Rattus norvegicus: one gene and its partners. The protein of the gene in region 5 interacts with the protein of the main gene of each other region in a pairwise test. Links are inferred from orthologs where the notes say so. Each region holds a gene or a part of one and is shown on either strand. Other genes may lie near its edges. The genes, in order: Card9, C5h1orf94, Txlna, Trim27, Cchcr1, Washc3 and Zfyve19.

Region 1 (4,074 bases), on a different chromosome or scaffold from region 5:
GAGCGCTTGCCTAGGAAGCGCAAGGCCCTGGCTTCGGTCCCCAGCTCCGGGAAAAAAAAAAAAAACAAAAAAAAAAAATTATTTGTTTTATGTGTATGAGTACACTGTTGCTCTCTTCAGACACACCAGAAGAGGGAATCGGGTCCCTTTACAGACAGTTGTGAGCCACCAGGTAGTTGCTGGGAATTGAACTCGGGGCCTCTGGAAGAGCAGTCAGCACTCTTAACCACTGAGCCATCTCTCCGGCCCTGTCTCCTTTTTTCTTAGACACTATTATCGTGACACCAGTCCTAAGCCCTTGGCTCTCCAGGAGTTAGTTCTTGCATGTGTTCATCCATCCTCTGTGGGAAATTTCATAGTAAAATGGCGTGAGCAGCCTAATCCTGCTGCTTGTACCGACTGTCAGCAGGTGGTTGTCCTGCAGCCCAGCTCATTGCCCTCTGTTATGTGTCCAGGGACCAGTGTTTTCCATGGCTCCCTCTAACCTCTTCTCCACTCTGGAGTACTGGGGTTTTTTCAGCTATCCGATTGATTTCTACCTCAGATTTATGGGCAAGAGCTTCCCATTTTATTAACACTTTTAAGAAAACACCATGATCTGTATTTTTACTGTTTGGGGAACAAACTCCACTATGGAGGCCTTGTGATCTCCTTCCTGGAGTAACTGCAAAGCCGTGGACCCCTCTTTGCCATCCTGGAAACCCAGCAAGGCACAGTCCCTAGCAATGCCACTCCCAACCCCACCCAGGCCAAAGAGGACTCCTGACTGCTGCTTTTAGAAGTATGGTCCAAGGTCACTGTCCCCACAGGAGCAACAGAAGGGCAGTAAGCCACGAAAGACGGGGCTGGTTGGGCTCTGCTCTTTGTAGGTCTCCCAGCCTTCCCACTCAGCTTTTGCTTCAACTCCTCTCGAAGACTAGGCAGCAGCACCTGTCTAACAGCTACACTGGCTGGTCAGGGCTAGCAGGTCCCCACGCCCATCTCAGGCTGGGGCACGCAGTTCACGGAGGACTCTAGCTGCCTACAGCCCGTGGATTGTCCTGCTGCACCTACCCTGCACCACCGTCCTCAGACGGCAGGTGAGGATATGGGCGGCCATGAGGGAAGAGCGGCTTTCAGAAGCCTGGATCCAGGAGGGCCTTAGACCGCCCATCCACAACGCCAGATTTTCAGATTCTGTGGCTCCAGGTCCGAGTTCAGATGAGCAGGCGGGGAGGGCTCCTCTGCTCCCAGAGTACTTCTACTTCCCTCTCTCCTGTTCCTGGATGGACCAATCAGAAGGTAGACCAGCAGGGACTGCCCCCCCCCCCCTCCCAGGGAGGACTGGCTGGCTTGTGGCAGCAACCAGAACACATCAGGAAGTGCACAGCCTCCCTCATGGCTCCACCCTTCTCCAGTTAGGGAGCATCTCCACACTCCCAGAGGCTCGCTCCTGGAGTGCCCATAGCCCAGGCAGCATCCAGCTGGCAGGTGGCTCCCACAGGACCCTGAGGTAAGTTCACCTTCCTGGAGGTGGGTGGAAGCCTGTGGTGAGTCTGCTGGGGACCCTGGAGCAGCAGTACCTACAGGCAGGTGGCCTCCTCCACCCTCACCCTTCATTTGATTAACCCTGGCCATGGCAGTATAGTCCTCCAGTGCTGGGCCATGTGGCTGTGGGGCTGGAATGGCAGGCAGTGGGCCCAAGGTTTAGAGAAATGTCTGTCCACTGAAGCCACTCACAAAGGCTTCACTTGTCCACATGCAGCTCCACACGAGTAAGCCCCTATGTTCAACTGGCCTGACTGATCCCCATCATGTGGCCAGAGGCCAGGCCTCATCCGGCAGCAGAAAAGCACAGGACTTGCCTAGCACCTGAAAAACTGGAGGGAAGCCGCAGCAGACGTCCAGTGTACCCCAGCCTAGCAGGGAGGCAGGCATGCTCCCACGGCCAACCCTTACTTGCCCTCCCAGAATAGCACCATGCCACAGGCTGTTGCATCACTGGCTACAACGGAAGGCCTGAAGGACTCGGAGCCTGTCAGGGAATGAGGAAGTCACACATAGGCCTGGCCCCCTGGCAGAGTGAGAAAGCCTCCCACCAACCTGACCCTCTTAGTCCCAATCTGGAGACTGGCCAGCCAGGGTCCACGCCACCCAGGGAGGTACTATGTAGGATGGCCAGTAGGGGCAAAAGCTCCCACCTTGAGGGTGTGCCAGGGCACTCCAGGGTAGAGGGCAGAAGCTAGAGCAGGCCTGTTGTACAAGGGCTATTCTCTTAGACCCCCAACCCATCCCTTCCCTGCATATCCACATGACTCAACGAAAGCTTGGGGTGACAGCAGCTTGGGGAAGGTGGGTTTAACAGGTGGCCTGAGGAGGGGCTTGCCTATGGACCTCTGCTTCCCCTCAGAAACTCTCCATGGAGCTGAGGAGATGAAACTGAGCCGTATATTTCCCTAGACTGAGTCCCTTCTGACCCTGCCCAAAGCCCTGCCCTGGCACTCCCAGGCCTGGGTCCTGTCAGGCTGACTGCGCCAGGCCCAGCAGGGAACAGAAGGTGGGCACTTCCTCAGCTGCTCTCCCCAACTGTACCACAGCCTACAGAGGACATGTCAGACTATGAAAATGACGACGAGTGCTGGAGTGCCCTGGAGAGCTTCCGGGTGAAGCTAATCTCTGTCATTGACCCCTCACGAATCACACCCTATCTGCGCCAGTGCAAAGTCCTGAACCCCGATGATGAGGAGCAGGTGCTCAGTGACCCCAACCTGGTCATCCGCAAGCGGAAAGTGGGTGAGGGCTGCTCCCATACCAGCAGGGCCCAGTCCCTCATCATCCCCACAAGACAGCCAGCCAGAGTCTGCTACCTCAGCCCCACCCAGCTCCATCTCCATGTAGGATATGAGTGAGGTCCTCCTCCCCTCTTGTCATGTCTACCTGCTGCTGCCCAGTGGGGGAAGGGAGTCCCCACCATTGTTCAGATCCTCAGAGCCACCAGAGTAAAGACAGCACCCTGTCCCACCTAGACTGAGACCTGCAGGGTGCCTTATGCAATGGCCCAGAAGGGAAGGGGGTGTCTAGAGCTTAGGTTATCTACCCAGAGTAACCATCCTAGCCAGCCCCAAGGGCCTCTACCTACCCAGCCCTGGGCCCTGACTCTGTCTCTTCTGCCTGAAGGTGTGCTCCTGGACATCCTGCAGCGGACAGGCCACAAGGGCTACGTGGCCTTTCTTGAGAGTCTGGAACTCTACTACCCTCAGTTATACAGGAAAGTCACTGGCAAGGAGCCAGCGCGTGTCTTCTCCATGATCATCGGTGAGAGGCACAGGTGTGGGTTGGTGCTGTGGGTGGACTCGGTGCTACTTGGCCCCGGCTCCTGTGATTGCACTGGAGTGACTAAGTCTGACACGAGCCTTCTGATGTAGATCAGGGTAGTGGTCCCTGGTGCCTCTCCGGTTCTCGGGAGCAGGGCCTTCCTGGATTGCTGAGGCCCTGCTGGTCTCCAGAAGGGGAGCCCTTCTCTGCTTCTCCTACTCACAGCCTAGAAATTCCACTGAAGTGGTGACCGCTCTGCAGTGCCATTTCTGCAGGGCCCAGTTGTCAGCCAAGGGCAGAGTCGTACAGTTTCCAGAGGGGACAGAGGTGTCCTCTCGTGGTGGAATAGCCACAGCCCTATCAATTCTCATCCATCTCACAAAGGTCACTGTAAGAGTAACAGAGGGCAGGCATGATGACACACACCTTTAACCTTTAACTCCAGAGGCAGCGACAAGCAGATCTCAGAGTGAGAGGCCAGCCTGGACTACATACATACAACATAAACACGTAAAACAGGGGCTGGGGGGAGACAGAAGGCCGACTGCAGTCCTGGCATGTGAGTGTTTGAGTCAGAATCTCAGTTCGCCTGTGAGGGACAGCAAGGCAGACTGGGCCTAGTGAGCACACTCAGTCTTGAGGGACCCATCCTACCCTCTGGGAGGCCAGGAGTGCTCCCTCTGTCCCTCAAGCTGCTGGTCTTCAAGCACACACTTGTAGACAAGGACGAGCACAGGGTCTGCAGGTGACAGCCACAGCTCCACCTGACACTGCATGGTC
Region 2 (4,104 bases), on a different chromosome or scaffold from region 5:
AGTAACCACTGTTTTCGGGGACCAGGGAATGCTCGTCAAGTTCACGCTTTTTCAAAGGTGAAGCTTCTATGTGGAGGGGCTTAGGGGCGACGATCGCAGTCCGCACCGATATCAAAGGGTGCGACTTTTTCTCCCACCTCCGCCTGCCTCCCTGTCTCAGTGTTGGGGTTAGCTTGGGAGCCAAGGGCATTAGATCATGTCGAGTCCGAGCTTTGAATTCTAGCCTTGCTTCTTGAACTCAGGACACAACCATTTGCAACTTAGAGATTCAGCTTCCTTCCATCGTGTCCGCCGAATAAAAAGTAGTACAAACTAATGAGGGTGAACAGGATCAGGTTTAAAGTTAGCTCTTGGCATTCGGTGCTCCTGTGGGATGGCAGTTAGGATTAAAGCCAGTGGGGAAAGGGGACAGGTCCCCCACCTCTAGGCAACCTCTGAAGTTTGTATGTAGTGGTGGGATGGGAACAGTGTTTCACTTTGACTTACTTCTAAGAGGAAGCTCCCTGGGGTCTTTCCAGTCCCACCCCGCCCCCATTCCACCTGCGAGTCTCAGGGACGAACGCCCGGCCCGTGCCCCACCCCCGCGCACCCAGCCGTTGCGCTTGAACCCACTGAAAGAATCCCAGCTCTCGACGGCAGGGGTGTGGGAGCTACTGACACGCAAATCCGCTGACCCCGCCCGGGCCTGCCCTGCCCAATCGGCGGCCTTTTAAGGGTTGGGATCCTCTGCGGTGCGGGTCGCAGCTCTGCGCGGGGGACGCGACAAGTGTCCGCTGAGGACCTGGGCCAGGCCGACTACCGGCACAATACCGCATTGGACATTTCTTTTTTAGGGAGGCAGAGCAGCTGCAGCAGAGAGAGAAGGGGAAGCAGAAGGGGGCGACCGGGAGAGCTAAAGCCAGGACCTGCAGTAGGCGGGTGGGGGGCCCTCTGTGTACGCGGGATCCTTTGGGAAGGTGGGAGGAGACAGTCCCATGGCCGGCACCCACCCAGTCTAGTACAGTGCTCGGCCTTTACCCTGCCCTTCTGGTGACTTGGCAGGAGAGAATGGGCTGAGTCCCAGACCCTGAAAAGTCTCACAGGGGTGTCGTAACGGGGGAGTGCCGGGTCCTGTGGGGAGAGCCAGTCCTCCCCTCTAGTCGTTCCCAGATGTCATTCTGCCCGCCCAGGCGCTTGGTTCCTGAGTTCCGGGGCATTCCACGGTTACTAAGTTACTGGTTTTTGTTGACTTTTAAATATTTTCTTCTACGGGAGAGGGGGAGGGGGGCAAAAGCCAGGAAAGAGCAAATAAAAAGAAGTCAACATAAGCCCCCCCTCCCCAAAAGAAAGTTGCCCTCTACTCCTCATCCTCACCCAAACCGAAGGCCTCTGAAACCCATCCCTTGGCTGGAGCAACAGCCAGCCAGAACTGACTACTTCCCAGGTCCAGTCTTCAGCTCCCTTTCTGGTGAATGAGGGCTGGTGGAGGACAGTCCCTTTGTCTCCCAGCCCTGGGCGGACAAAGGGGCTTCCGAAAAGAGAGAAAGAGGATGGCCAGTGGAAATGGGCTCCCTCCATCCTCAGCCCTGGTGGCCAAGCGTCCCTCCGCCCTGGGGCCATTCCCCAGATATGTCTGGATCCACCAGGACACACCCCAGGATAGCCTAGACAAGATTTGCCATGACATCTGGAAGAGAGTTCAGGGCTTGCCTGAGTCCCTGCAGCCCAGGACCTCTCTGGAGAAGCTCTCTGCCCCGGTGACAGCCGCTGTCAGCTTCCAAGACGAGTGAGTAATCCCCTATTTGGTTGATTATCAAAGGCGGGGGGAATGAAGTCTGACTTTAGGTCGAAATGCTCTGGGCCAGTGTTAAGTCCTACACACATCTCTCCCCCAAGCCTCAACCCTCAACCCCGTTTCTGTAATCTGAAAAATCTTTCGGTTGGAGGAGCTGGCCAAGGTCCTGAAGTCCCAGATGCAAGGAAAGAAGCCATTTCTGGCAGCTTCTTTTCCAGTGACTAAGGAGAAGTTTCTTATTTTAAAGACATAGGTGGCTATGATGTAGATCTGGGGTCCCTGAAGATCTAAGGGTTAGGTGACTCATGACTGTCCCCAGAAGCAACTAGATGATCTTTTCCCCTATCCCAAGAAAAGTCCAGGCATTGGCACAGATGATTCTGGTGGTTGGAAACCACATCTGGAATCCCCTAATACAGAGAGCAGCTGTCCCATTCAGCATCCACAGAGCTACTGCAAGAGCGCACATCAAAATATTTACTGGGAAGGCATTGACATATTCAGAGGACATAATAGAAAATTAAAGTGTGGGAAGATGGCTGTAAATAGCCGGTTTCCCGGATGGGAAATCCCCTGTCGGGGAAGCACAGAGCTAAGTGTTTCAGTGCTAGGGAAAAGTTGAGGGGATAGCGTTGGGGCTGGCTATTGGAAAGAAGAGGAAGGAGCAGAGAGGAAGACAGGGATCTCATTAGGAAAAGGACTGCATCAGCTGTGGTGATTAATGCCACTGCAGAGTACTCTTTCAGGGTTCTGCATCTCCAAAGTGGGCTGCTCGCATTAATTAATCCTCCCGGCATCCCTATGAAACAGGTATTAGTGTCCCCATTTTACAGATGGATTAAGTGTTAATAATTAAGTGCTAATTAAAGCCTAAGTGATAATTAAATGTTGTCTGCCCCCAACACATGCTCCAACTCAGTTCATAGATGCTCCGGAGTGTGTGTGTAGGGGGCGGGGTGCATCCCGGCATTCATCAGCCGCCTCTGGTTTCAGGGCTCTCTAAGCATAGCTGAGGTGAAAAGCAATGTAGTGCTGCAGTCCCTATGCAAGCTCCTTTGCTTGCTGGAGATGAAGGCGGGAGGCATGCTGGCTGCTTCTACCTCCCCTGCCCTGTGCTCAGCAGGACCAGGCTCCGATGCAAACGGCCTTGCTCCATCCAGAATCCTGTGGCGAGTCCGTTCAGTGGCTCTGAGCTCCTTTGCCTCACCCATTGCCATCTGCTCCAGGACAAGCACCTTGGCACGGGGAACCTTGGGGCTGCACTCAGCTCTCTCAGTGGCCAAGTAGCTGATTGTCCACTTTCGGGATCAAAGGTCAGCAGCAATTTCCAGTAGATAGCCCCTTCCCTGCCAGGTCACACTGAATTCGTGGAGACAGACTCTACTTCCAGTCTGCAGTTGGCCGGAAATTGAACCGGCCTACCTTTGGCTCATTACTTCACTCCATTTGGCCTTGATTTCCTCATCTGCAAATTAAGGACGACGTGCCCTGCCTTGTCCACCTCAGAGTCGATAACGAGGGTCCAATGTGATGGGAAACTAAGAAAATGAAAGATGCATTATACAAACAAGGCCGCCTTAATATGTAGCTCGTCGAGTTTGGGGGAGGGGAGGCTTCACAGCTCCATGATCCAAGGAGCCTTCAGACAGCCATCCTGGAGTCAAGTGGGCTCCTACACACACACTCTACACACATACACACACCACACACACACTACCCACACACACTACACACACATACACACTACACACACATACACACTACACACACATACACACTACACACACATACACACTACACACACACTACACACACATACACACACTACACACACACCACACACACACACTTCAGCCTGAGCTCTTCAGGTGTTGGTCCGCTTTACTCACTGGAGTTCTGAGTACAGTTGCGATTGAAGGAGTTCTGAGGCTGAGAGGAGACCTGGGAATCTGCTGACTTAGATGAATAAGCCTCATCCTAACTGTATAGCTGTCCGCCCAGCAGAACACAATGAGCGAGGCAGCGAGCGCCGGAGTTGGATAACCAGGTTCGGCAGTGTGTGTGCCTCTGTAGAACCTGTGACTGCGAGGCTGATCTGAGCTTTGGTTTCCTCACTGCCATGGGGGAGTGACGGTAGGGGTCGCTGGAGGTGACAAATCAGGACTATTCAATGGTCCTGCTGGTAATTAGGATTGATAAACTCGTTCTAAGGACAGCAGTTATAATTTCTGTAAACCCTGCAGTCTTTGCATGAGGCAGTGAAGGTCCAAGTGTGTGTAGATGTAAATTTCCATAATTATCAAACTGTGCTGTTCTGGTTTAAATTGCTC
Region 3 (3,970 bases), on a different chromosome or scaffold from region 5:
CGCACGCGCACGCACGCGCACACACGCGCACACACGCACACACGCGCACGCGCACACACGCGCACACACACACACACACACACACACACACAAAGAGAGGGTATTGCTATGTAGCCCAAGCTGGCTTTGAACTCAGCATCTTCCTGCTTCTGTTCCTCCTAGTTCCCCATTAGAGGCATACACTACCATATTTGGTTTGCATTAGGTTCTAAGTTCGTATTTTCACATTGTCCCATCACTCCTGTCCTTTGTTTGTGATAAGGTTTCATTATGCAGCTGGCTGGTCTGGTACTCAGGAGATGCACTTGCTCCTGCTTCTCAGGTACTGAGGTTAAAGGTGTACGCCATGGTGCCAGGTTGCCACTGCCTTGCTTTACCTCAGCCGGGAAGCCTTACAGCTGTCTCCCTTGGGTTCCACTGTACTCAGCACAGACCAGGTTCTGAGCTGTCAGCCCTGGGAGGCCCAAAAGGTAACACGGAGATGGCAAATCCAACCAATGGAGGCCTCTGCTTACTTTCTATTATTTTGGTTACCAATTATTCAGCTGGTCAGATGCGACTGGGGGACTAACCAGGTAGGAGTCAGGTTTTCAGATCAAGAAGGCCCTTTCTTGATTCTGAAGAGGTCTGTGGCTTACCTGGTCCATGTTGATATTTCAACCTTGGTGTAGCCCAATTCTATTGCTGTACAAACAGGGAAACTAAGACCCTCTCTAGGAGTGGAGAATAAACATGCCCAAAGTCAAACAGCAGGTTGAAAGTGGTGTTGTCGAGCACTTAGGCCTCCCTCCGGTTTTCCATATTCCCAGTGAGAAAGCTAGTTGGATTCCTGCCTCCACTTGGCTCCCAAGGCCAGGAGGCCTTGCACAAGTGAGTGATCTGAACAGCTCAATGGGATGACCCCATCTTTGACTAAACTGGGGGGATGTACTGTCTTGAAAAGCAGATTCTCTTGTGTCCAGACAGAGCAGGCTAGCCCATGAGATGGCAAGTGTTCACTCCCTCCCGTCAGCAGGAGCTCCCCCTCACCTAGACCCTTGGCTTTCTTCTTTTCCTGTGGCCTTCGAAGGTCTCGGTCTCCAACCTCGTCACTTGCTCGGATCTCTTCTGTGCCAGGCTCCCCCTTAGAGGTCTCTTTCTCGCCATTGACGACTGGAATGCCCGGTTCAGGCTCCCCATTCCTGGCTGCATAGGTTCGGGACTTCTCTGTGTCTTCAGGCTCAGTGGGCTCCCCCTGAGCTCCCTCCTCACCTGGGCCTCCCTGATTGTTGTCCACACAGTATGTACTCAGAATGTCTTCCAACTGTCGGCTCAGCTCCTCAGAGACATCACAGAGGGCCCCAGACTGAGATGCTTTAGCTCGAGCGCCTACAAGATGAAGACAGTGAACGTTAGGTGGTTACACCGCTCCCTTGGGTTTTCTTCTTCTTTAAGCCCAGACAAACACCACTTGTGTGGGTTAAACGTTCCATTTATTTATTCAGTTGAGACAGGCTCTCTCTACAGGGCCTTGGCTGTCTGGGAACTCACTATGAGGATGAGGATGACCTCAAACTCAGATCTACCTGCCTCTGACTTCTGGGTTCTGAGAACAAAGGTGAGGGCCACTATGCCTGGCCTCAATTTAATTTTTTTAAACCCTAAGTCGTATAAAACGTTTTTATAAGACGAAACAATTATTTCTAACACCCAAACATACTTGTTATGACCATCAAAGACAACTGTGTAAAGCACCCCTACAAGAGGGACGACTGACGTGTAGCAGACGCTCTGTCTTATGAAGGACAATTAATCACCGGGCACTGGCAAGTGGGAATATGACTTTGCTTATGGGGCGCCTCATTTGATTGTCATTTGGTTTAAACCAGTCAGAGCATGCCCCCAAGGTTCCGTTCCAGGGCTAAGAGTGGAAAGCTTCATCACCTCCCTAGGAAACATGAGGATCACAGAATGGGCATTGTTTCATTCTATAGTTCCTCCTTCCTGGGTAAATACTGGCCTCAGATAGATGCAAGTACCAGAAACTCCTCCCTCTGCCCACTGGAAAAGCAGAGCTGGCACACACCCTCGGTCTTCCCAGGAGCCTGGCTTGTGGAACCTTCAGCTTCCGCACCAGGAGCTGTCTGTCTGGGCCGTCCATGAGCTCCCTCCGGTCCTGCTTCCCGTTGCCCAGGGCTGTTCTTCGGGTTGGAGTGTTTGGCAGGCCCATTCTTTTTGTCTTGGTTCTTCATTGTGATCTGCAAGGCCAGAAAAGGGGTAGATCCTTTACGGACACCGCTGCTATTTTCTAGACTTCAAAATTCTTCACAACCTAGATGAGAAATCTCCAAATCTGAAGCTCTAAGCTTCAAACAAACTGGTCGGCCTTCGCCTGAGACTTCACGGTCCCGGGCAAGGTTTCCGAGAAGCTGCACCAGCACAGAGTGAAGGAAGGAAGAGGCCTCCCTTCTCCTGAATGCCACTTCTCAGCACCACACGGCTCCCTCTCGGCAGCGGGAGCGCGGGATTGGCTCAGAGCCGCAGACTGACGTGGCGGGATGCTCCAGTCCCGACCGGCCCCCCGCCCCACCAGGTCCCACGTGGGATTCCCGCGCGCGCGCGCGCGTACACAGAAGACACCCACACCCCACGCGCCCTCTAGACCCGAAGTACGCATGCGCAGCACGGCAGCACACAACTCTCCCCACCCCGTCCACAGAATTAGTTGTTCCTCCGCGGCTAACGCGTCCTGGGTCATGGACCCTCTGAAGAGCTCGTCCCGTGTACAGCCCAAAGACATACTTCACCGCGGACGTCCGACCGCGTCCCCGACTCTGGCCGAGCACCGGAAACCTGGGTAACTGCTGCCAGCTGGACCACCCTCTCCTGCGGCAGCCAATCAACAGCAAACGCTGGCGCGGAGCTTGCTGGGAAAAGAGGCCAAGGCGGCTTTGGAGGCGGGAGTGGGAAAAACTACGAGTCCCTTCATGCCTTGCGGCAGGTCACAACTCCCGAGATGCAACCGAAAAGCTTAGGAGCCAAATACCCTGAGGGTCCGAAATTATGTCATTCGGTCTAGAGATTCGTGTCAGCCTCCTTCCTAGTACAGAAACTATGATTGGCCCTTAAACTTTGGCAGTCTGGATTTTTTTTCATACACTCCCTTATGAACATGTATGACTATTTTAGGATCTCTGAGGACTTGCGAGTGGAAGAGAGAAAGAAGGGTAAACTGTGAATTAGGAGATATTTATCTCACGCCCAAACCACTAATTTGTTATGTGCCTAGTATCCCTCCCCTCTCCATTCCAGTAGAAGGTTTATAATAATCCAAACAATGTGTTCTTCCCTCGTATGTAATAGCTTGGTCCTCATAATTACTCAGAGAAAGAACATTATACTCAGAGATCTGGGAAATATAGGGCAGTACGGAAAAGGCTAATTAAAAGAAAAAAGTATGTACTATTGTTTGTTAGAGACAATGTCTCATGTGTGGCTTTGGCAGGCCCCGAATTCTCTAGGTGTATCAAATTGGCCTTGAATTCAAGAGTTCTGCCTGTCTTTGTCTCTCCAAGACTGGGACTAATGGCACGGGCCACCATGCCCAGGTAAAGGGTAAATAATCTATGGCTCCATCCATCAATACTGTGTGCTTATTGCGGATTCAAACCTGGAAGCCTGACACCACCCATCCTTTTCTTAATCTTCTCCCCAGTGCCCCATTCCATTCCACCCAGCCCAGTCAGGGTTTCTCCGTGTAGCCCTGGCTGTTAGTCTTTGACTATGCTGGCTTCTACCTCAGATCCAACTAAAACCCATCTTAACCATTCTCCGCCATCACAGGCTTTGAGACCAAGTATGCCCCGCCTTCTGACATCACCAGCTTGGATCCTCAGGAGGGGATTGTAGCAAGGAGGTTTGGCTTTAGGCGGATTGGTAAACTCCCACTCAGCCCTGCCCCACTTTCTGCAAAGTACCACGTGCTCCTACA
Region 4 (4,055 bases), on a different chromosome or scaffold from region 5:
ATGACTGGAGCCCATGAACATCTTGCCTGGCAGGCGGAGTCATGAAACAATCACAGTGAAATGGCAGGGTTAGGTGTGCACTCTGTGGACATGACCTGGTATGATCGAGCAAGCACAAGTTTCCTGGATGTGTTTACTTGGTCTCAGTAAGTAATCCATGCCCTGATTTTTTAGGGGGTGCTTATGGGTTCCTCTCCATACAATGTTTCTATTGGTTTGTCTATCTTTCCTACATTTCTAATTCCTCCATGCCTGCATTCCTAGCACTTGGAAGGCAGACAAGGCAAGACTGGAACTTCAGGATCACTCTTAACTATATAATGAACTTAAGATCAACTGGGGCTACCTAAGACATCCTAAAAAACCTAGAGTTCTAAGATTATAAACCAAGTGTGGCAGTGCATACTATAATTCCAGCACTTGGGGAGACTAAGGCAGGAATATGGAGAGTTCAAGACCATCCTGGATTGCATAGTGAAACTATTTCTGAATAAACAAATGGTCAGCAAAATGGCTCTAGAGCAGTCAAGAAAGATTTTACTTGAATCCAGCCAAACCCACTCATTTATGTATTAGACATGGCTGTTTTTGAGATGCAATGACTGAGGTGTTGTGATTTAGCTTGTGTAAATTAACAAAGCTAAAAATACTTATTACTGGCCCCTTTCAGAAAGTTTGCTAAAATCTGACTTGAATTCAACTGTTCCAAGGGCCCCTTATACCTCTTTTAACCTGGATAAGTCTTTCAAAGGTATAAAGTATACAATATAACCTTAGACAAAATTAAGGCTAAAGATCAATTTACTGAGTATATCCAAAGCAGTGTGACTGACACACTGGCACAAGTATTTCTCTCTGGAAAATCCTCCCAAAGCTGATATGATACATTGTATGTTTAAGTTTAGTCTACACAAGATCACTGAGAAGTTTCTTCATCCTGTTTTCAAGCAAGAGGTGTCAAGATCGCACTCACTCAGAGACAGGATGGAGCTAAATGATAGGAATGACAGACACCAAGGGGAAATGCTCTGCTTAGAAGTTTTCATTACACCCTTGCCAAGGCTATCCTGATGCAATGCCTCTCTGCAGGCTGGAGACCTGGACCCTTACCAGGAGCTCAGCTCGTGCCTGCTCCCCCTGTGCCCTCCGTCTCTTCTTCAAGTCTTTCACTCTTCTTAGGTGGTCCAGCCGATTCTGGATTTGCTCCTGAAGAAAGTAAACAGTCAGCCAATTCAGAATTTTGCAGATCTCAGCATCAAAATAGCTACTCTGCTTATGACACAGGAACCCAAACTACAGATGCCAAGGCCGGGCTGGACTCTGTCCTCAGACCACAGTGCCATTCCTGGGAAGAGCCTAAAGCACAGGGTCCAGCACAGCTGTTTTAGAAATTTGTTAAACTCAAGCCACCTACCAGTTCCTAGAAGCATTCTGCACAGGTTATGAGACATCTGGGTAAAGAGGCTCAAAAGGTAAGCTATTCCTCAGACGAATACAGAAAAAAATGATTTATTTTCCTCATGCACAGAACTGGTAAGCATTACTAAATTACAACTTTATTTCCAGTGAGTGAAATGATACAGCTTTGTAAACGTGACTGACATTTGGATGAACTCACATTTAAACAAATCTAACTGTTGGTACATATCCCTGCAGTCCTCAAAACAGACTCATTATCACTTGAGAGTTACTTTATATGTAACATTTTCGAATTACTGTGTAGCTGTGCCAGTGTTTATTCAACAAAGGCCTCTTCAGGTCCTGTGAGTTCACTTCCTCTTCATTAAGTTATCTCCCGAGTCTGAGAGTGGCTAAATGATTTACTCAAGCAGTAAAGAGCTCTGTTCATTTCCATTAGGTTCTAAAACAGGTTACAGGGAAGCGCTGGGGGCTTAGATTAAGTGATAGGCATCGGTCGATGTGAATTCGGCCAGCCAACAGGGGCTGTCTGGTTTGATATCCTGGGCCAGAGCAAGTTCGAGGTGTTCAAGGCCTATGGAAGTGGACATGGCTCCATGTGCATCTCCTTTGTCAAGGGAGGGTCTCCTCGCGCCGTCCCAGCCGCGGCACGCGTTGAGGCAGTTAACAGGGGGCGCTCGGAGAAGGGGTGGGGGTGGGGACGCCTCTGGCCTCGCCAGCTACAGGTTCTCCTTCCGAGTCTGAGCGCGGAGGCTCCGCAGCCGACAGGGAGGAAATGACGGCGGTGGGCCCCACGTCCGGCTCGCCATTTTCTCGGCGGCAAACCAGGAAGCCCCCGGCTCTCCTCTTTGTCCGCCGGCCCGGCCCTACCTTGAAGCCTTCCACAGCCTCCTCCAGCGGCAGCACGCTGTGGCCACGGTGCTCGCGCGAGCGGTCGCACACCACGCAGATGGGCATCTGGTCCTGCTCGCAGTACAGCTTCAGAGGCTCGCGGTGCTTCTCGCACACGCCCATCTCGCCGTCCGGCCCCGACGGCCGCTCGGTGCGCAGTTGCTTCACCAGCTGGGTCACGTTGGCCAGGTGCCGGTTGGGCCGCATGTGGCGCTGCGGGAAGGTCTCCCGGCACTGCGGGCACGACACGTTAGTCTCCGCGGCACCCCAGCAGCGGGCCAGGCACGCGCAACAGATGTTGTGGCCGCAGTCGAGCATCATGGGTTCCACAAAGTATTGAAGACACACGGGGCAGGTGGTCTCCTGCTGCAGGGACTCGGCCACGCTCCCTGAGGCCATGGCGCGAGCCGGCTGGGCCGCAGGGCATGAGCCCGGAGCCGAGCTCTGGCAGAGCCCGGCGCTCTCTCTCGGCTTCTCAGATCCGGAGCGGGGTGGGGCCTCCGGCGCGGGGATCCTAGACGCGTGCGGAGCTCTGGGGCGGCCAGACCCGTCCCCGCACAGCTGCACCTCACGGACAGCGCGGGAAGGCCTGGGCCCCAGGGCCCGGCTGAGAGCCGAGCAGAGGGGTGTCGGGAACCCGGCGCTGCAGGATGGCTCACCGGGCAACGTGGCCGCGTCGGAAGGGATCCCAGGGCCGCGCAGACTCCTAAGGGCCGAGCGGAAGAGGTGGGCCGGGGGCGGGGCCTGGCTTCCCGCGCCGCTCTCCTCCGGGGCGGGAAGGCGGGTTTCCTCGGCGCAGTCCTGGAGCCCCGGTACCCAGCCCGGGAGTCGGTGGTGGTTGCCCTTTGCAGTGGGAGCAGGGTGTCCCTGGCAGTGGGGTCGGGATACTCTAAGCTTTGGTGGATCCGTAGTCCTTTGCCGGGTGTCTTCTTAGTGCCTAGGCCTTGGCTCCTTTAAATGCAAGGTGGCTTTGCATAAGTGCCGGAAAACTGGGCTGAGAGACCAGCTAAGCCCCTCCCAGTGTGTGAAGCACTCTGAAACACACCCAACTCCAGGCGATAATAATCGCCAGAAAAAGGTTTTATTATCAGCAACTTTTCTCAGTGGCAGAAATGGAGAAGCCCACTTCTACTTCCACCCTAAAGTAAGTTTGTTTATCGTTCCGAGCCTCATTTTCTTCTCGCGTGAAATGGGGGATTGATAGAATCCAGACCAGAGTGCTCACCAGACCCTGATACCTACTGAAGTCCTTCCCCTTCTCTCTAGCCTTCCGGCTACTAGGGAGCTGCCTCACCGAGAGCCCGCTTGTGAGTCCCTAACTTCTTAACAGGCTCCTCTGGTGCCCAGTTTCTCACTTCCTCAAGTGAAGTAGCCAGACCAGACATATCAAAGAGCTACTTGATGACACACTTCTTCCCTACCACCTGCTGAGGAAGGAGCCTGGCCGCGGGTTCCTATGAGACCCTAGAAGAAACGACCCTGATTCTGCCACGTGGGCTTCATTCTCGAACACTCCCCAGCCCCCACCTCCCCCTGGCGCCTGTGGCGCGGCCAGAAATTCTGATTGTCCACCGCCTATCTGCCTATGGCGCTAATAAAGTTCTTACTCCCAGCAGTCTGTTTCAGTGTCTTCCTTGAGCCCCCATACACTGTTGCTTTCAGGAATTTTCCCCATCCGTGAGTTAAACTTTTTAAAACACAGCTTGAGCCATAAAGATTTTTATCCATTAGTTTAAATGAAGTGT
Region 5 (3,500 bases):
GATCCCCTGGTGTCTTTCCTCCCACCTTCAAGGTGTCTAGCAGCTCCTTCTGTTCCAGCTCCCGTGCCTGGCTAGGAACCTCAGGAGGGACTTGTTCCCCTACATACTTCCTCAGATTCTCCACCAAGGTCACCTGAGCCTCCAGCTCTTCTTGGGTCTTACTAAGGTTGAAGCAGAAATGGGACAGTCCTCAGTGGAACAGCCTGGAGATGATACCCAGCACCACGTCACCTGCTGGGGCCCTTGTTCACACCCCTGCACAGTCCACTGACCTCAGCTGATTCCTAAGCAGTTCTGCCTCCTTCTGGGCCATAGTCAGCTGCTTGGCTTCCCCTGCCTGTTTCATTTCCAGGCTGTTCAGAGACTTCTCCAAGTCCTCAGCCTTGCTGGTCAGACTGTCGAGAGCCTTCTGGTGAGCCTGTGTCAGGGAGGACAGCTGTGGAGGAGGAGGAGGAGGAAGAGGAGGAGGAGGAGGAAGAGGAGGAGGCGGAGGGAGGGAGGAATGCATTCAGAAAAGGCCATCCTGGGGGGCTGGACAGGGGCTCAGCAGCTCAGACCCAAGTTCAGTTCCCAGCACCCACGACAGGCAGTTCAGAGGACCCAATGTCCTCTTCTGACCTCTGAGGCCCTCATACATGTGGTATACACTCACCGACACAACACACACTCACAAGCGAAAATAAATCTTTAGGAGATGGAGGGCCACCTACCACACTATGGGGCCTGGTCTCCCAGAGAGCCATCTGACTGATATGCTACTGTAAGCAAATGGGGGAGATCTTGGCCTCTGGTTCTCCACAGTTATGTTTCAAACAATCGTCAACTGGTGCCGGTTCACTTCCCGGTCTCTCTGTGTTCATTGCTAACAGCTAGAGTAAATGGCCCCACCTCAGGCCTGAGACTTGCCGACTATGGAGATGACTCGTCAGTAAGTGTTTGCCTCACAAGTATGAAGACCTGAGTTAGGAGCCCCAAAACTTTTGCAAAGCCAGGCAGGCCAGCACACACCTGTAATCGCCCCACTCTGTGGGATAGGAGGAGACATGGGTGGATCCCTGAAGCTCCAGGTCTGGCCTCCATGATAAAAGACCTTGTCTGGAGGCCTCACACACGTGCCAGTCACACTCACACCCTCACCTACAGACCCACACCTGAATGTACACACACCCCTCAGTGCATGGCGGGAGCAAAATGTCTTCAACCCCGAGTGCTAGCTCCTCTTTGGCCAACCTGACATGGGCTGCAGTTATTGGAGAAGGGGAAACTCAGTTGAGGTAGTGCACCCATCAGATCAGCCTATAAGCAAGCCAATGGGACATTCTTGATGGTGATTGATTGGTAAGGACCCCGCCCACGGGGAGGTGGTGCCTCCCCTAGATAGGTGGTCCTGAGTTATGCAGGAAAGCCTGCTGACCAAGCCAAAGAGGAACAAGCCAGGGAGCAGTGTCCCTCCGTGGCCTCAGCTTCCCTCAGCCGGCTGTGAGCAGGGTGAGGTGAGCCAGAAGCTTTTCCCTTCCTTCCTGAGGATGCTTTTCGTCAGCTCTTTATCAGAGCAATAGGAACCCTGAGACCTTCCAGTACTTGGGAGGCTGAGTGGGGAGTACTGTCTCAAGTTCACAGCCAGCCAGGCCTACAGATCAAGGTGCTACCTTAACAACCCTCGACCCACAAAGAAGCAGGCTTGCCACACCCACAAAGCCTACAGCACGTACAACACACTTCCCCAAGCTCTCCTGTGGCTCTCCCTGCACCCTTGTGCAGGTGCTGTCCCGCCCTCAGGAAGACCTCTCATCTGCTCTTGGCCTGCTGGCAGCTTTCTAAGCTCTAGCAGCCAATGGTCGGACCCTACTTCAGTGTAATGATGGGGGTGCTCTAGGAAGGGAGGGTCTTCCTCACTAGACCCCAAACCAGGCCAGGGGCAGATGGGGCTCCTGCTTCCCCCTGCAGGGCCGGCCCAGCCAGCCCTGTCAACATCACCAGTGCCAAATCTTTCTTGAAGCCCAGGTCTTTCTGGACATAAAATATAAATCTGATTGTGTTATTTCCCTGTTTCTCTCTGAAGCTCGGTGTGGCAGTGCAGCACTTGGGAGGCAGAAGCAAGAGTCAAGGCTGGCCACAGCTACATAGCGAGACCCTGTCTCGACAACAACAAAAATTAAAAAAACAAAAGCCTTCTTTTCTGGTGACTCGGAGGCTGAACCGGTAGCCTCGTGCAGAGCAGGCGGACACTCTACTGCTGAGTTCCAGCCTCAGTTACTTAGAACCTGTCAGTGGCTTTTTGTCTTTTTTTTTTTTTCCCCCTTTTCTTTTTTTCGGAGCTGGGGACCGAACCCAGGGTCTTGCGCCTCCTAGGCAAGCGCTCTACCACTGAGCCAAATCCCCAACCCCTTGTCTTTTTTTTAAAAAAAGATTTATTTATTGATTATATATAAGCACACTGTAGCTGTCTTCAGACACACCAGAAGAGGGCATCGGATCCCATTACAGATAGTTGTGAGCCACCATGTGGTTACTGGGAATTGAACTCAGGACGTCTGGAAGAGCAGTCGGTGCTCTTAACCACTGAGCCATCTCTCCAGCCCCCATTTGTCATTTTTTTTGACATACCACCAGCCAGCCCATCTCGCTCACAATGTCTGTCTGGAGCTGACTGATTCAGAGAACCTTCCTACAGGTAACTCAAAGACGCAGCCTGAGGGAAACCCAGGTTCTCCCCCAGCCCCACGGGTCTGCTATTCCCGAGGCTCCTTGCGATTTACTGGACAGTGGGCCCTGAAACGCTTTTAAGCCACTCCCCGCTGCGTGTTCACCTGCTCTTGGTGCAGACTCTGAATCTCCTCCAGCTCCTTCTGCTTCGCCTCTTCCAGGTTCTTCCGAACCATTTCCGCTCCGGCCAAGGCGGTGCGCAGGCCCTCGGCCTCGGCTTGCCCGGCCTTCTCCGCCACTGCGAGAGCATCCAGCTCCACGGCCTGAGACTCTAACCTCATCTTCTGCTGCAGGGAGGTCTCCCGAAGGGTCCGGACCTCCTCCTCCAGCAGCCTCAACTCTTGGAGCTGCCGAGAGATCAGCTCAGCCTGCTGGCTCAGGGCACCGGAGACCCCCAGCTCCAGAGACCTTCAAAGACAGGTGGGCACGGGTGAGCTGCTGGGAAGGTGGAAGCAAGGGGCTGAAGCTGAGGCAGGAGGATCGATGCATCTACCACACCACCATCACCCATCAAGTCCCTACTAAGCGCATGAGGTCATCACTATTTGCACTCGGACGACCTAAGGGCTAGTGAGATCGGCAAAGAACACCATCTCTCCAGAGATCTACACACAAGCAGATAGATGCGTTAAACGTCAAACGTGCACATGGGGGAAGGGGGGTACAGGTTTTGAGTGTGAAGATATTTGAATTCTAGATAAAGGCAAAGGAAGGGGTGGGGCGGAAACGCAGGGCCAAGTGATTTTTTTTTTACATTTTTGTTTTTCAATTTGTTTGAGACAGGGTCTCATGTA
Region 6 (4,219 bases), on a different chromosome or scaffold from region 5:
ATGGGAGAGGTGAGGGGGCCGGGAAGGTGTTGCTCAAAGGCACAGAATCCCAGGAGAACACGTTCCCTGGACTCACTGTATGCTACAGTGACTGCAGCTAAGAGCGAAGTATACTAAGAATGAGGGTGTACATACACAGCAAAGCACACACAAAATTTATATATTCCGTGGTGGGCACAGGAGTCAAAACGGCGTACGTTACGTCATAAAGACTTCGCATATGAAAAAGAGCAGAGGGCAGTAGGCTAACTCCGTATGAGCTGAGCTCTTTATCCAACAAATTTCTCTCTGGGGTTCAGGGAAACATTAGGGGATACGGACCAACTGTGGGGAAGGGAACACTGACAGTGTGGAAGAAGGTGGGGAAAGCTCTGTGAGGTGACACTCGCCATCCTTGATCCTGGCTGCCGATAAGCAGCACCCACTCCCAGACAGCGGAAACTGAGGGGGACTACGAAGACGAGGGGTTATCCTCGCGCAGAGCACATTGTAGCAAACTGCCTTCTGCTAGCTTTTTTTTAACTCAATAGGGACAACTGCGCAATGATAGGCAATGAATATCTGGTTTCTTCTGCTAGAAGCTACAGCCTGCATACACTCTAACCTAGAGCACAAAGGGTCAGATGGGAACTGGAAGGTGAAAATCCCTTCACTCCGCAGGTTCCTTATCCTAGAGAAGCAACGGTGTGAGAGGAAAATGGACTGAACAGATGTTTAGCAGTCCAGAGCACTAGTGGCTCATAACTGTCCATAACTACAGTTCTAAGAAGTCTTAAGCCTTCCTCTGACCTCCATAGGCATCCGACATATGTGTGATAAAAACACTCACACGTATAAAGTAAAATAAGTAAATCTTAATTTTTTTTTTTTTTTTTTGGTTCTTTTCGGAGCTGGGGACCGAACCCAGGGCCTTGCGCTTCCTAGGTAAGCGCTCTACCACTGAGCTAAATCCCCAGCCCCAATTTTTTTTAATAGACCAAAAAGAAAGGAGCGCCCAGTCTCTGGGGCTGCTCAACTATACAGCACACAGAACCGAGCTCCTCACTGCATCAGTAATTACATCTTACTTTCATTTCTCTCAGGGGAAAAGCTAAAGGAATTCTGATAAAGAAATAAAAACTACGGCTGGGGGCTGGGGGTGTCGCTCGGTGGCAGAGTGCGTGTGCCTATCGTGCTCAAGGCCTTAATCACAGCCCATCATATAAACAGCTCAAATTAGACCCAAACGAGAGGTTTCCGGTCTCCAGGCAATTCTGATTAACAGCCACACATCTAACATAAACTCTGTTTTGTCGAAGATAAGCCTCACATAGGACAATATAGGAAAATAGAATATTAAATCGATCCAGCTGTGAAGTGTCTATAAGTTTCTACTTTTTTATTTCCTTTTTTAAAATTCAGTTTCAATATACATTCCCTATTTTCATCCTCCTTAAAACAAACAAACAAAACTTTTTGCAAGATCAGGAGAGGTTCCTGGATCTGGCGTCTAATTCTTACTTTATAAGTCATCCAGTCATTTGCAACAAAGTATTTTTTTGAAACATGTATTCTAGGCTACCCCTGTGAATTGTTTTTGGCTCAAAGGATGCAAAGCAATTCAATATAAACTCAAGCATATATTTAAAATGTAATCTCTTGAGTAGAAAGCTGAGAAAAAAAAACACTTTAAAAAATTCAACTGTAAAATTCTGGATTTCCTTTTGTTCTCATAATTAAACATAGCTGAGCTGTCTCACAGAAGCTTCTAGAATATTAATTCGGCTGAGGTAGGGCACAGGGCTGATGGGGACAGAGTCAGAGGTGCTAAGGTCTTAAGACGTTTGAGTTTCGTGGCAAAGTGAACAACACATGAAGGGTGTAACTCTTGTTTGACTTCATTTGTCAACATGAAGGGTGGAAGGCGACTTCTCGGCCGCTCCAGGAACTAGTAGCCCAGGACCTACCTCTTCACAAACTGCGGAAAACCGGTTGAGAAACTGCACAGTGTGCACCACAAACTGGTTTAGAAAAGCCACGGTTCTTTTCTGTTGAATAGCTGGCACCTGTGTCATGTAAAAACAAACACGATTCTTACAGGAGAAACATACCCTGTGCAACACTTTGGATATCTGGATTTCATAGAGGGGATGGTCTTTGTCCTGGGACATGAATTTCACGAAGGGCTGAGAAGAGTCACTGATTTGTGTTCCTGAATCTGGTGTGTGTCAAAGTGACAGGGGCTGCATGAAGTTTGAGAATGTGACAACACACACACACACACACACACACACACACACACACACACACACACACACACACACGAGCAGCTTCTTGAGGGTCGAATAAGAGGTGAAGTGTTAGAGGTGGTTCTATCTCCAGACTGTCAACCTTAGGCGGAGAGGCACGTGATGTGGGGAGCAAAGGCTGCGTGGCACCCAACCTCTTTTCTTAGCCCAGGAGAGACCCCTTTCAAAGTGGATTGCAGGGCTCCCCCTTCCCCAGGCTAGGAAAATAGGGGCCCGGATTGGGCCTGGAGAGGTGGCGTCTCCCTGGGAACCGGGGCCCCTTAGCCAAGCCTCCTTCCCTGTTCGTCGGAAGCTCAAGTATATCTTTTACAAACCTTGGTCAGGTCTATGCCTGACCCCATGAGAGGAAGCCCATCCTCATCCATCTCCTCAGCGGATGGGGACCCCGGGGCTCAGGCACAAGCTCCTCCCAGCCTGGTAGAGAGACCAGACTCCTTTCCCAAGTTCCTGCCTTCGGGGCCTTTCCGGAAGAGAGCGCGTGTGTTCACCAATCAATCGGTGGCTTCGGAGAGGCCGCCCCGCCCCCTCGCTCTCGCTCTGCATTCTGGGATTGGTAGTTCATGATTCGGATTGTAAAGTTGGGCTGGGAAATGCTGCTGATAAGCAGGGTTCACATTTGCTGTTTAGCTGTAAAATCTGAAAAGATCTGTAGAAAGGGAGGGAAAGAGACAGACAGCGAAATAGAGACAAAGAAACATGCACAGAGACACACAGAGAGACGGGGGGTGGTGGTGTTTACTTGTTTCGAATTGTTACAAAAAAGATCCATAATTCACTGAAGAGCACTTCTCTTTTTATGTGGTCCTACTAAGTGCCAGATACTCTGCGATCAGAATGAGTCTTCAGCCCTGGAGAACCTCATGCCTGGAGATCTGTTTTTAACGCTTTTCTTTTTTTTTAGACATAACATAATTTCAAGCAACAGCTGAGACATACATCAGTGACAGTGACGACGGCCACTTACATCATGTAAAAGATCTTTACACCTGCAGTTTAAAGACTTTGGTTCAGAGTTTGGAACACATTTTACCAGCAAAGTGACTTAGGACAGGTCACCTAAGCGAAAGTAAACCTTTTTATTGTACCAAACAAGGACCGAAGAGATGCCCACATCATCTCTGCTATACTATTCAAAGAGTAATACAGGGAGGACGTGCAAAATTTAGATGGCCACGCAAACAAAATCCTGTGAAAGTTGCACCTTTGTAAGTAAGCGTGTACAAACACTTGTGGGCCCATGAGTACATGCACACCACACGCAAAGTGCTGTGGCTCTGAGCTTCTAAGACGTCCAAGAAGAGGAAGCTGACCTTAGTGTCTACTTAACACAAAGAGGAGTTAAGGTGACGATCTGGAATGAACCTTTGTACAAACAAAGGCACAGAAGCATGAGGACATATGGTGTTTAAGGCAAAGGGAAAGCGGTTTGGTGGTGTAAGCAAAAATGCCCAGTGGTGGAGAATAATGACAAACAAAGCAGAAGTAGACAGAAAAAGCTGATGAAGGGCCTTTTATGTCAGAATAAGAGTCATGTTTTTCTAAATGATTCACGAGCTTCTTTTTGGGAGTGCCTCTTAAAATGCCGATTCTAGAGATTAACCTCAGACAAGACAAATCAGGATCTCTTCTGGGTAAACGTGGATACTTGCATTTTATTTTATTTTATTTTATTTTTGGTTCTTTTTTTTTTTTTTCGGATCTGGGGAACGAACCCAGGGCCTTGCGCTTCCTAGGTAAGCGCTCTACCACTGAGCTAAATCCCCAGCCCCGATACTTGCATTTTAAATACCACTCCCTGGACTTATTCTTCGTTGTGCTGTCTGCAGCAGTGAGCGCCTACTGTCAGGTTCTATGGAACCTCACTGACCGATAGCCCTAAAAGAGGGAATCCGTTCCTAGGACGAGGCTTTTTGTCAGCCTGCAGTATCTAG
Region 7 (2,743 bases), on a different chromosome or scaffold from region 5:
CCTTTCCCCACTGAGCTTCCCTCCTCTGCACAGGTACACCAGGCACCAGATACCAGGACCCAGGCCCAGCAGACACAGGATCTGCTCACACAGTTGACAGCTGAGGTGGCCATTGATGAAAACTGGCAACCAAGAGTCTCAGGTAACTTGTCCCCTTGGCGTCCCAAGTCATGTCCTGCCTCTTCTGCCCACCCTTTTGGGAGGTGAATGTAAGTTAGAGAACGGTCAACACTAAAGAGCTTCTGTTTATTGAGCGCTTGCTCCAGAAGGAGCCAGCGTGGGCCTCTTGTACTGGCTCAGGAATCACGTGGGGAATTTCTCTTCCACCACCTACATGAGTTACTTCCCCAACCCTTTCTCATCTGTAAACTCAAGCTATGTGTGCTACAAGCCTATGTCCTGGGAGAAGCTGTGAAGAATAAATGAAACAGTACAGTAAGTGCTTGGGACTGTGCCTGGCTCATACTAGTACTCAGCAGAGTACTCTGCAGGGCCACAGTTCAGCTGTTCACTACCCCCATGACGTGCTATGCAGCGCTCTGACATAGAAGACCTTGGACAGTGGTACTGAGGTCTGCGGAGCAGTAGCTCCAACTAGGGGTGATTTTTAGCTTTAGGCACCTTTAGATTTGGTTAAAGACATTTTCTTTTTTTTTTTTTTTTTTTTTTTTTTTTTTCGGAGCTGGGGACCGAACCCGGGGCCTTGCGCTTCCTAGGCAAGCGCTCTACCACTGAGCTAAATCCCCAGCCCCATTTTCATTATCACAGTTCACAGGCTACCACTCCTGGCTTCTGGTAGGTGGAAGGTGGGGATGCTACTGAGTACCCTATCATGCAGTGGCCAGCTCCCCACCCCTGAAAAGACATATGCCCTTAAGTGTATCAGAAGAACTAAGATTGATAAATACTGCAGAGCGTCTCTGTGGATGACCTCACTCATCTGACGTGTGCATTACCATCAAGGGTCTCCTGCCCATTATGTAAGATTGCTATTTCCGTTGACTTATCCCTGTTGGTCCCAGAAAATGCTAATTCCAGCCCTGAAAGACAGGGTCTAGCTAAACCTTAGCCCCTCACAGCTGATCCTCAAGTCATAGCGTAGCCACTCAGTATGTGGAGGTGTACTTTTGCTTCTGTCTTCTCTACTCCTGTTCTTCAGCCCTTTAAACTGGCAACACGAGATGACAGAAAAACGATGACATTACAGGAGGCACCTTCCTGTTGTTTAGTGGTGTCAGGCTCCTTGGGGACAAGATTGCTCTTCGCTTTCGGGATACCTAATTTTGTCTTCTTGCTTTTTTCTCTGCACATTACTACATGATAAATGGCAACCAACAACAACCAAAAACCCACCAACAGCCTCTCAGGGCTCCAGCATCTATGTACTCTTTGCAAAGGCTCCAGAGTTCCAAATGTCCCATAATCGCAGAAACATTCTGCAGCTGACAAGATCATACCCCTGCCAGAGCACAAGGCAAATCATAGTCAGCTGCTGTGGAAAATTCGAAGCAGCCCCATACTCCCCATCTGTGATTAAAACAAAAATTATAATATTTTTGTGTTCTTCAAAGAAACCAAAATTCCAAAATTGTCACTCCCAAGGTTGATGCCTTTGAAAGATATAACTAAACTTACCAGTTTCCTCAGGCATGATGGTTTACTCTGCAGTCATAGAATGTGAGGTAAAGGCCATCAAGGGGAGGGGGAGGGGCACCAACCCAACCACAAAACCTTTGATCTACAGTTTGTCATGCCTGCCAAATCATCATCAGAGCGTTTGGAGAGACTTCACCCAGCAACTGATGGGAGCAGATGCAGACACTGTAGACAAAGGGGGAGCTCAGAGAGCCCTGCAAAGGAAGGGGAGGAAGGATCTGAGGAACTAGAGAAGTTACGGGCACCCCAAGAGAATAAGACTCACAGAAAGGACGATTGGGACTCATGTGGGCCTGCAGAATCAGGGATCCTGTAGGGGTCTGACTTAGGTCCTATGCATGTATGCTCTGGCTGAATAGGTTGGTGTTCTGTGGGATTCCTAACAGTGGGATCAGGGGCTATCTCTGGCTCTTTTGCCTGCTCATGAGACTACTTCTTGCCTCCTTCCATGATGTGGATGGCTAATGTCCCTAGAAGGGCTTCTCTTTTCTTTTTTTTTTTTTTTAATTTATTTATTTATTATGTATACATCATACAGCTTTCTGCCTGCGTGTATTCCTGCAGGCCAGAAGAGGGCACCAGACCTGATTATAAGTGGTTGTGAGCCACCATGTGGTTGCTGGGAATTGAACTCAGGACCTCTGGAAGAGCAGACAGCGCTCTTAACCTCTGAGCCATCTCTCCAGCCCGGCTTCTCTTTTCTAAGGGAGGTTGAAGGGACTGGCATGGGGCTGAAAGAATGGGAAGTTGAGGCAGAGAGGCTTGGCAGGAGGGGGGAAGAGGGAAACTGAAGTCAGGATGTAATATGAGAGAAGAATTTTAAAAAAGAAAGTGTTCCAGTCAGTATAGACTCAACAGCAAACCCCTGTCTGTAAAATAAATGAATAGATGTGGAGGTGGCACACACCTTTAATTCCGGCACGTGGGACCCACACTTGGGACCAGCACTTGGGAAGCAGAGGCGGGCAGATCTCAGTTCAAGGCCAACCTGGTTGGCAAAGTGAGTTACAAGAAGGCCAGGACTACACAGAGAAACCCTGCCTTGAAAAAAACAAAAATAAATGGGTAAATAAAAGTCTAGTACTGA

Evidence for each region.
Region 1: the proteins of Cchcr1 (region 5) and Card9 interact in binary tests that used the Homo sapiens proteins (3 or more experiments, as listed by UniProt). The link is inferred for Rattus norvegicus from reciprocal best matches to the Homo sapiens genes CCHCR1 and CARD9.
Region 2: the proteins of Cchcr1 (region 5) and C5h1orf94 interact in binary tests that used the Homo sapiens proteins (3 or more experiments, as listed by UniProt). The link is inferred for Rattus norvegicus from reciprocal best matches to the Homo sapiens genes CCHCR1 and C1orf94.
Region 3: the proteins of Cchcr1 (region 5) and Txlna interact in binary tests that used the Homo sapiens proteins (3 or more experiments, as listed by UniProt). The link is inferred for Rattus norvegicus from reciprocal best matches to the Homo sapiens genes CCHCR1 and TXLNA.
Region 4: the proteins of Cchcr1 (region 5) and Trim27 interact in binary tests that used the Homo sapiens proteins (3 or more experiments, as listed by UniProt). The link is inferred for Rattus norvegicus from reciprocal best matches to the Homo sapiens genes CCHCR1 and TRIM27.
Region 6: the proteins of Cchcr1 (region 5) and Washc3 interact in binary tests that used the Homo sapiens proteins (3 or more experiments, as listed by UniProt). The link is inferred for Rattus norvegicus from reciprocal best matches to the Homo sapiens genes CCHCR1 and WASHC3.
Region 7: the proteins of Cchcr1 (region 5) and Zfyve19 interact in binary tests that used the Homo sapiens proteins (3 or more experiments, as listed by UniProt). The link is inferred for Rattus norvegicus from reciprocal best matches to the Homo sapiens genes CCHCR1 and ZFYVE19.

The regions. Positions count from the first base shown.
Region 1 is NC_086021.1:29,575,603-29,579,676, reverse strand, and holds the start of Card9 (caspase recruitment domain-containing protein 9), read left to right. Parts: upstream 1-1,274; 5' UTR 1,275-1,492; intron 1,493-2,576; 5' UTR 2,577-2,588; coding exon 2,589-2,772; intron 2,773-3,156; coding exon 3,157-3,294; intron 3,295-4,074. UniProt on the Homo sapiens protein: Adapter protein that plays a key role in innate immune response against fungi by forming signaling complexes downstream of C-type lectin receptors.
Region 2 is NC_086023.1:145,607,495-145,611,598, reverse strand, and holds the start of C5h1orf94 (uncharacterized protein C1orf94 homolog), read left to right. Parts: upstream 1-1,304; 5' UTR 1,305-1,451; coding exon 1,452-1,765; intron 1,766-4,104.
Region 3 is NC_086023.1:147,266,474-147,270,443, forward strand, and holds the start of Txlna (alpha-taxilin), read right to left. Parts: upstream 2,801-3,970; 5' UTR 2,688-2,800; intron 2,238-2,687; 5' UTR 2,232-2,237; coding exon 2,066-2,231; intron 1,369-2,065; coding exon 1,030-1,368; intron 1-1,029. UniProt on the Homo sapiens protein: May be involved in intracellular vesicle traffic and potentially in calcium-dependent exocytosis in neuroendocrine cells.
Region 4 is NC_086035.1:48,243,349-48,247,403, forward strand, and holds the start of Trim27 (zinc finger protein RFP), read right to left. Parts: upstream 2,710-4,055; coding exon 2,290-2,709; intron 1,758-2,289; exon of another isoform or gene 1,619-1,757; intron 1,553-1,618; exon of another isoform or gene 1,415-1,552; intron 1,207-1,414; coding exon 1,111-1,206; intron 1-1,110. Other genes in the region: uncharacterized protein LOC134482717, read left to right, coding at 2,708-3,036, 3,641-3,677. UniProt on the Homo sapiens protein: E3 ubiquitin-protein ligase that mediates ubiquitination of various substrates and thereby plays a role in diffent processes including proliferation, innate immunity, apoptosis, immune response or autophagy.
Region 5 is NC_086038.1:3,216,266-3,219,765, forward strand, and holds part of Cchcr1 (coiled-coil alpha-helical rod protein 1), read right to left. Parts: intron 3,115-3,500; coding exon 2,811-3,114; intron 437-2,810; coding exon 273-436; intron 162-272; coding exon 26-161; intron 1-25. UniProt on the Homo sapiens protein: May be a regulator of keratinocyte proliferation or differentiation.
Region 6 is NC_086025.1:24,507,125-24,511,343, reverse strand, and holds the start of Washc3 (WASH complex subunit 3), read right to left. Parts: upstream 2,801-4,219; 5' UTR 2,654-2,800; coding exon 2,603-2,653; intron 2,046-2,602; coding exon 1,947-2,045; intron 1-1,946. UniProt on the Homo sapiens protein: Acts as a component of the WASH core complex that functions as a nucleation-promoting factor (NPF) at the surface of endosomes, where it recruits and activates the Arp2/3 complex to induce actin polymerization, playing a key role in the fission of tubules that serve as transport intermediates during endosome sorting.
Region 7 is NC_086021.1:126,652,822-126,655,564, forward strand, and holds part of Zfyve19 (abscission/NoCut checkpoint regulator), read left to right. Parts: intron 1-33; coding exon 34-142; intron 143-2,743. UniProt on the Homo sapiens protein: Key regulator of abscission step in cytokinesis: part of the cytokinesis checkpoint, a process required to delay abscission to prevent both premature resolution of intercellular chromosome bridges and accumulation of DNA damage.